2 linked regions of the Diceros bicornis minor genome follow. The protein of the gene in region 1 interacts with the protein of each later gene in a pairwise test. Links are inferred from orthologs where the notes say so. Each region holds a gene or a part of one and is shown on either strand. Other genes may lie near its edges.

Region 1 (3,743 bases):
CTTCTGCCACCCCCCAGGAGGTGGGAGGTTCCGCCCGGCCAGCAGTAGGGGGGCCCTGTGGGAGGGCCAGGGCCTCGAGGCTGGAGGGGGGTGGGAGGCCGGCCCAGACATTGCTCCTGCCCTTTTACGGTCTCCGAGTGAGGCAGCCCTCGCTCGGACATCCGCCATCCGCCTTCCACCGCGGTGCCTGGGACCGGAAACGCGGGGAGAGGGGGGCGAGGGGCAGGGCTGGGGGGCAGTGGGAGAGGAGAGTCCCCGGGGAAGAGGGTGAAGGAAGAGGCTCCTGACCACGGCCCCCTCTCCAGGGCAGACCTTGAAGGCATGTTGCTGTATGAGAAAAGGGTAGGCAGGAAGTCTTGAGGGTGTCTGTGGGTGCCCCTTGCTCCCAATTTTCCAACACTTCCTTTCACATCAGAAGGAACAAATGGGGGAAGGGGATTCTCTGACAGTCATAAAAAGGCAGGCCACCTTGATGTCAGATGGCAGGGGTAGGGGGAATGGGGAAGTGGGAGGATGTGGGCACCACGGGGTTAATCCCTATCGGTCTCCAGGGGCCTCCCCCCTCAAGCTGGGGGCTTTGGGGCAGGAAGTCCCTGAGAGAGTGGAGGAAGGGAGATAGTATTGTCAGGCTCAGGCCTCAAGGGAGAGATTATGGGGGGTCAGTGAGAGGGGAGAATGGGGGGGCCTAGTCCGGTCCCCCAGTCCGCACGGGCCCCGCCCTCAGGTGAGCCCAGGACTTTTGAGGGACCCAAGACAAAATCCTTGGGTCCCCCACCCCCAGTGTTCAATTCCTGGGAAGAGAGCTGGAACTATCTGGGAAGCCTGGGTCCCAGGGGGAGAGGGCTATGACCTTGAAGCCTTCCAGCGCCCCTCCTCCAACCCCACAGCTCCGGATGGCTAGGGTGGGGGGGCGGTGGTGAGAGAAGGGGGAGGCGCCGTGGTGGGGAGAGCAGCCGGCCCACAGCGCTCCTTGCCCGCCCCCCAAACACCAGCTGTCTCGACAGGTGAGTCAGGAAGACAAAGGCCCCCATTCCCCCAGCTGCCGCGCCCCTTCCCTCCCCAGGGCCGGGCAGGTGGGGGAGAGGGCCGCCCTGCTGGCCCGTGGCCGGGGCGCCGCCCTCCGCACGGAGCGCTCGCTCAGTCCTAGGCACAGCCCGTCTCAGCAGATCGTGGGTGGGGAGCAGTGGGGGAGGGGGGTCCCACCAGACCCTCCAGGCTGCGTCTGAGTCCCTGGATCCGTCGGCACCAACCTCTTCCAGGAGGACGAGAGCACCCCCAAATTGAGAGGGTTAAGTACCCCCGAAGTTCAGGAGCGAGGTCCCACTTGGGAAGACTTTTCCCAGCACCACGTAAAGGGGCACCCCGCAAACCAAGCTCTACGTCTCAATCTCTCTTCCAGGACCCCCAAACCGGCCCCCTACAATCCCTCCCGGAGCCCGAGTTGAGATTTGGAGGCGAGTCTGAGCCCTGCCTGAACCCTGGCCTCCCAGCGGGGAGTAGCTGCCAACTTGGAGGTCCTCTGAAAAAGTCTTGAAAAAAATCCGAGAGTCCTCGGAGCGCCCCCAAATCCGAGGGCTCCCAGGAGAAGCTCACCGGCACCACCCCGAGCCTGGGGAGTCACGGGGAAGCGGCCAGTATTTGGAGCTCGTCCCAGGGGGCTCGACCTCAGATCCGAGGCTCCCCATGCCCTGTCCCCAAATTCGAGCCCGGAGCAAGCTGGGGGGGAGGGGGACAAAGGCGGGGCGGGGAGCCCGCGCCGGGCGGGGAAGGGGCTGGGGGCAGATCCAGGCTCACCTCATGGCTGCTCGGCGGGCGGGCGGCGCGCCCACGGGCTGGCTGCTCCCGGGGCGCCCCGGGCTTGAGGTTCAGGGGTTCGGGGCTGGCTCCAGGCTCTGCTCAGTCTCCCCCAGGGTCCCGCCCCATAGAGTCCGGCTTCCTGGGGGGAACGTGGGCCGGGGCGGGTCCTCGGGCGCCTCCTCCCTCTGGGGGTGTGATGGGGGGGTCCCTGCGGCAGAAAGGGGGTGCGGCGTCCCCTCCCCGGCGCGCCTCCTCGGCCGGCGGCGGCTACAACGTTACTCTTACTACTGTACTTCTCTTCGCTACATTTCGTTCCAAAATTCCACTCCCCGCACCCACAATGCCCTGCGTCTTAAAGGGGCCGTCGACACCTCCAGGCGGCGGGGTGGGAGGCTGGAGGGCGCTTAAAAGGGCAACGCGGAACCCCAGCCTTCCGCTATTTGCCCCTGCCCCAACACTATTGCATAGGGGTGCACGCTGGGGCTCGCCCCCACATTAGAGGGGGAGCTTGGTGGAGGGGAAGGGATCCTTCCTTGATCTCTCGTTCCCTCCCACCGGGGAAATTCCTAGGAGGATCTCAATGGGGTCACAATTTGTTCTCACCCTCCCCACCTCCCTATCGACTTCTGCATTTCTTTACATTCTGCTCATTTAGCAGGGGGGCAAGGAGGACCCTCTGGTGTAGCATAGTCTCTCCAATTTTCTCCCTTAAATCCTCCCGTCGGACCCCGCCCCCCAAGGTCTCTCATCTCCGCCAATTTAGGAGGGGTTACTCAGGGGTGAGCCCCCTCCCCTGCACAGGTGGGGGATGGGCGAGGAGGGCCCCCTCCCGCTCACTGCCCCCCGCCCGGCCCGGGAAGGTGAGGAGGAAGTGGGCCGAGGGGGCGCGGCCGGCCGCTGACTCACAGCCGCAGGGTGGGGGCGGGAGGGGGTGGGGGCGGTGCTGGACCTGGGTGGGGGTGGGACTCCAGGTCCCCGTGTGGATAAAGCCCCTGGCCCCCTCCCCACGCACGCCCCGCCGTGACTCAGTTTCGCCCGCGGAGCATGGCGGGATCATCCAGCAATGGGAGGGCACCGAGGCGACGAGACCCTCCCTAGTGCCAGCTCCTGGGAGCCCCCTCCCCCACGCGCCGGCTACCCGCTGAGCCCTGACACCCTCCGAGGCTTCCGCAGCGGGTCCCGCAGGCCACGCCCCACGTGACGTCACGCATGTGGTCACACCCCTCCCGTAGAGCGCCACCTGGCCCGCGTAAGGTGCCCTAGCCAGGGGCAGGAGTTTAGGAAATCTTGTTAGACATTTACAAATAGGTAAACTGAGGCCAGGAGAGAGGGAATAAATATGGGCTATAGCCCCCTTGCCTGAGCCCCCAGAACCCCAGTAGCGCTTGAGTGCAAGGTGGGAGTGTAAAACCACCAATTCTCAGGGCCCAGCTACTAAGTGAGGCAATCAAGCTTCCCAGCCTTTGTCCAAGCAGGGTCCTCCGCCCGGATGCCTCTGACCTTTCCCTCATCCTTCTAGACCATGCTCTGACGTTCATTCTTCTCTGAAGAATTGAGTAATCCTGTCCCCTTCTATCCTACTGAGAGATCGTGAATCCTGATCCACCTAGGTTATAATTATTTTTCTGGGTGTCTCCTCAGGCCGTGAGAGGACAAGTCCCTTCTCCTCTCTGGGTCAAAGCTTTCCCACGGGTGAAATGGGAGGGGTGGCGCTTCTGTGTGCCACTTGCCTTGCAGTCAACCAACTTCTTCTATAAAGGTCCAGATAGTAAATATTTTAGGCATGTTATGCATAGGGTCTCTTTTGCCCTTTTTCCCCCCAACCCTTTAAAAATGTAAAAACCATTCTTATATGTACACAAGAAGCCTGATGAAGGATCTTTATGGCAGCAATGAGGTGACAACAAGAAATTGGAAATAGCCTGAATGTCCATCAAGAGGAGGAT
Region 2 (3,743 bases), on another chromosome or scaffold:
CTACTTATGTCATGTCTCCAAGGGCCCGAACATTATTCTTTTTTAGCAGACATCCAAATTTCAACCCAGTCCTCACCACAGTCTCAACTCACAACTTCCATTACTGAGAAAACAAATGGTTTAACATTTCAAATCTACATGAGCTGGACAGAGATTTAAAGGTTGCTTTTGGTCTTAATGGATAACGTATAGGCTCTTCTTCACAGAAAAATAATGCTGTGGTTTGACCATCCTAATTAGCCTGTGACTCTCAGTTCTTTTTCCAGGCAGGGTGATTCATTTCTTAGTTCCAAGGATAGTTTTGTAGGGCAATTCAACAAAAGCTATAATTAGCAGTTTAAGAGTGAAATCATAATAGGAAGAAAAAGCTGGCTGTGAACTGAAGTTTTGAAAACTTTCAAAATTAAATGTCATTTAAAAAAATTTAAATTCAAGTGTTTTAAAAATAGTGGCGTGTGCCTTATGGAACTCAAATTTGTGCTGAATTAAATCTCCATCAGGACTAACGTGGTTTAACGGCTTATATGTGAGAACACAAATGATTGTAAACACTGATCACATCCAATTAATACTGAGTTGAGAAAACCTCCTCGATTGCTGAAAATGGTGATTTTTTTCTTTCTTGCTGTAAATAAAGTATCAATGGCCTCTCAAAGGCCAGCCTTTCTAGTCTCCAAGGAATGCTGGGGGACCCTGAGCCGGGCGCAGCTGAGGCCTGAGCACCGTCCTTACCTCCCTGCCTCATCCCTGGGCTTGTGACCCAGTGAGTGAAGAAAACCTCCCTACAATGGTGCTGAACCCCTGCCCTGCCCTTCACACCCCGAGGTAAGTGGATTATTTGAAAAGTAAAAGTCAAATTTATGCACATCTCAAGAGTGGTTCCCTTCCTTCTGAGCAGCGTGGGCATAATGCTATAAAGATCTCTTTCCTCATGAAGCTTATTTTGTGTGTGTGTGTCGGGGGGTAGCAATAGATAAACACAAAAGTAACGTGATAATTAAAATATATAGCATGCCAGTTAGTGCTGAGGACTACTGAGAAAAACAAAGCAGGGAGCAAACCAAGAGGTGTCTGAGATGCGAAGCAGCAACTGTGGTCAGAAGGGTCTCACTGCAAAGACGACATCTGAGCCACGATCTGAAGAAGGCAGGAGTGAGCCATCCTGATACAGGGTATCGGGAAGCGTCTCAAGCTGCATGAACACCAGATGCAAAGGCCCTGGAGCTGAAAGGTGCTGGTGTGGCTGCAGCACAGGAACAGAGTGGGAGGAAATGAGATCGATGAGGTCAAAGGGGAACAGGTCGTGGAGGTGCTGGTGGCCTATTCTCAGGACAGTCTAAGAAACTTGGGGGCCACTGGAGGGTTTTGAGCAGAGGAGTGGCAGGACCTGACACGTTGTTGAAGGCTCTCTCCTTGAAGCGGCTTTGGTGGAGGTGCCAACGAGAGACCAGGAAGACAAGGTTGGTAACGGGTGTGCCACAGTTCGCAGACGCTACTGGGAGACAGGGGTTGAACCCTGGACACACGGGCGCGTGGGCGGCTGGAGGGGGGTCACCCGGGGGACACACTCGCCTGGCGTTCAGACCGGGACCCCTTCACGCCGGCTGGTGCGGCGACCCCCACCGCGCCCGCCGCTCCGCCCGGAGCGCCCGGCCGGGACCGCGTCCCCGATCGATCTTCGGCACTGCGCCCGCGGGCCTCCCGTCCCCGCCCGGCGCCCCCGCTGAGACTCCCCCGCCCGCCGGGGCCCGCGCCCGCTCGGCCCGGGGAGCAGCGCCCTCCCGCACGCCGGGGCGCAGCCCCGCCCCGAGGCAGCCCGCAGCCGCTCTGGGGGACGCTCGACGCCCCCGCGCTCCCCGCACTGCAGCGGGCGGGGACCGGGCCCGGCGGGGGCGCAGCGCGCGGACCGGCCGCAGCTCACCTTGTGCAGCTTCCACATGGCCCCCAGAGCCTTGACCTCGTGGCTGGAGTGCTTGCCCTCCTCCAGGCACTGGTAGCACACCGGCACCTTGCACTGCACGCAGTACATGCTGAGGTTCTCCAGCTCGTGGTCCGTGCAGGTGGACACCTTGCGCGGGCTCAGCCGCCGGCTCACGCGGCCCTGCGCCGGGGGCACCAGCCGGTGCTTGGCCAGCGGCCCGCGCGGCGGGTGGCAGCGCAGGCGGCACGGGTCGCAGTAGAAGACGTCGCACTGCTCGCACATGACGGTAGCCTCCTTGGGCGCCTTCTCGCAGAGCTGGCACTTGAGCGCCGCGGCCTTGCTCTGCTGGTAGCGGTCGATGACGCCCTCCAGCACGCGGTTCTTGGGGAAGCCGCGCAGCCCCCGGTCGTCCAGCACCAGGCTGCGGTGGCACTGCGGGCAGGTGATGCACGAGTTGCGGGGCACCGGGGCCAGCGCGGGCGACAGGTGGGCGGCGGGCGGCGGCACGGCGGGCGGGAAGACGCGCACGCCGTTGGGGGACTTCTGGCTCGGCGTGGTGGGCGCGCTGGCGAAGCCGCCGTAGGAGCCGTAGCCGCTGTCCGCCTCGCTGTAGAGGCTCATCTTGTCCAGGTCCAGGTAGTCGTAGTCGGAGGCGCCGGAGCCCGAGGCGCGCCGGCTGCGCGGGGACTCGGCCTCGGGCGTCTGCACCAGGATGTTGCGGGCGCACGCCTGGCACAGGTTGTGCGAGCAGGGCAGCAGGATGGGCTCGCGGTAGAAGGAGCCGCACACCGGGCACTTGAGCTCTTCCTCCATCTCCTCCATCGGGCCGGCGGCCTCCGGCTGGGCAGCCTCGGCGGGCCTTCCCGGCGCCTCCCGCGTCCCCTCCCGCACCGCGCTCTGCCGCTCGCTCTCTCCGGCTCTGCGAGGGCCCGCACCCCGCCGCCCGCTCGCCGCCCGCCCGGCCCCGCCCTGCGCAGCCGCCGATTGGACGGCGGGCGGGCGCGCAGGCTCTCATTGGCCTCACGCGCCGTCCTTCTCTCCCGCGCAGGCCCAGGGGGCTGGCGGGGACTCCGGGTGACTCCGGGTGAGGGGCGTCTGCGTTCCGGTGGCGGGTTCGGGGGAGGCGGGTCTCTAGGAGGGAGGACTCATCGTCGCCCCGTTTCCGGCGACCCTGGCGCCGTCACCGCGAGCGGGGCGTGAGGAGCCCGCCCTCACGAGGGGCTCCGGCCGAGATCTCCGGGCGGCCGCGCGGCCCGGAGCCCCCTCCCCCCCACCCTCCCGCAGGACCCTCTCCTCAGACCTCCCCCGGAGCCCCTCCCCTGATCCTCTCCCTGGACCTTCCCCTCGGACCCCCTCCCCGACCCTCTCCCCGGCACTCCCCCCGGACCCTCCCCTCGGACTACCTCCCCAGGCCTCTCCCCGGACCCTCGCCCCGATCCCCTCCCCGGACACTCCCCCCGACCCCCTCCCCGGACCCCCTCCCCGACCCTCCCCCCGACCCCCTCCCCGGACCCCCTCCCCGACCCTCTCCCCGGACACTCCCCCCGACCTCCTCCCCGACCCTCTCCCCGACCCTCTCCCCGGACACTCCCCGACCCTCCCCCCGGACACTCCCCCCGACCCCCTCCCCGGACCCCCTCCCCGGACCCCCTCCCCGACCCTCTCCCCGGACACTCCCCCCGACCCCCTCCCCGGACGCCCTCCCCGACCCTCTCCCCGGACACTCCCCCCCGACCCCCTCCCCGGACCCCCTCCCCGACCCTCTCCCCGGACACTCCCCCCGACCTCCTCCCCGACCCTCTCCCCGACCCTCTCCCCGGAC

What was found. The genes of interacting proteins can lie anywhere in the genome.
Region 2: the proteins of VASP (region 1) and TRIM9 interact in binary tests that used the Homo sapiens proteins (3 or more experiments, as listed by UniProt). The two-hybrid records come from large-scale screens. The link is inferred for Diceros bicornis minor from reciprocal best matches to the Homo sapiens genes VASP and TRIM9.

Annotation. Positions count from the first base shown.
Region 1 is NC_080773.1:19,741,622-19,745,364, reverse strand, and holds the start of VASP (vasodilator-stimulated phosphoprotein), read right to left. Parts: upstream 2,522-3,743; 5' UTR 1,800-2,521; coding exon 1,795-1,799; intron 1-1,794. UniProt on the Homo sapiens protein: Ena/VASP proteins are actin-associated proteins involved in a range of processes dependent on cytoskeleton remodeling and cell polarity such as axon guidance, lamellipodial and filopodial dynamics, platelet activation and cell migration.
Region 2 is NC_080744.1:1,168,234-1,171,976, reverse strand, and holds the start of TRIM9 (E3 ubiquitin-protein ligase TRIM9), read right to left. Parts: upstream 2,829-3,743; 5' UTR 2,744-2,828; coding exon 1,922-2,743; intron 1-1,921. UniProt on the Homo sapiens protein: E3 ubiquitin-protein ligase which ubiquitinates itself in cooperation with an E2 enzyme UBE2D2/UBC4 and serves as a targeting signal for proteasomal degradation.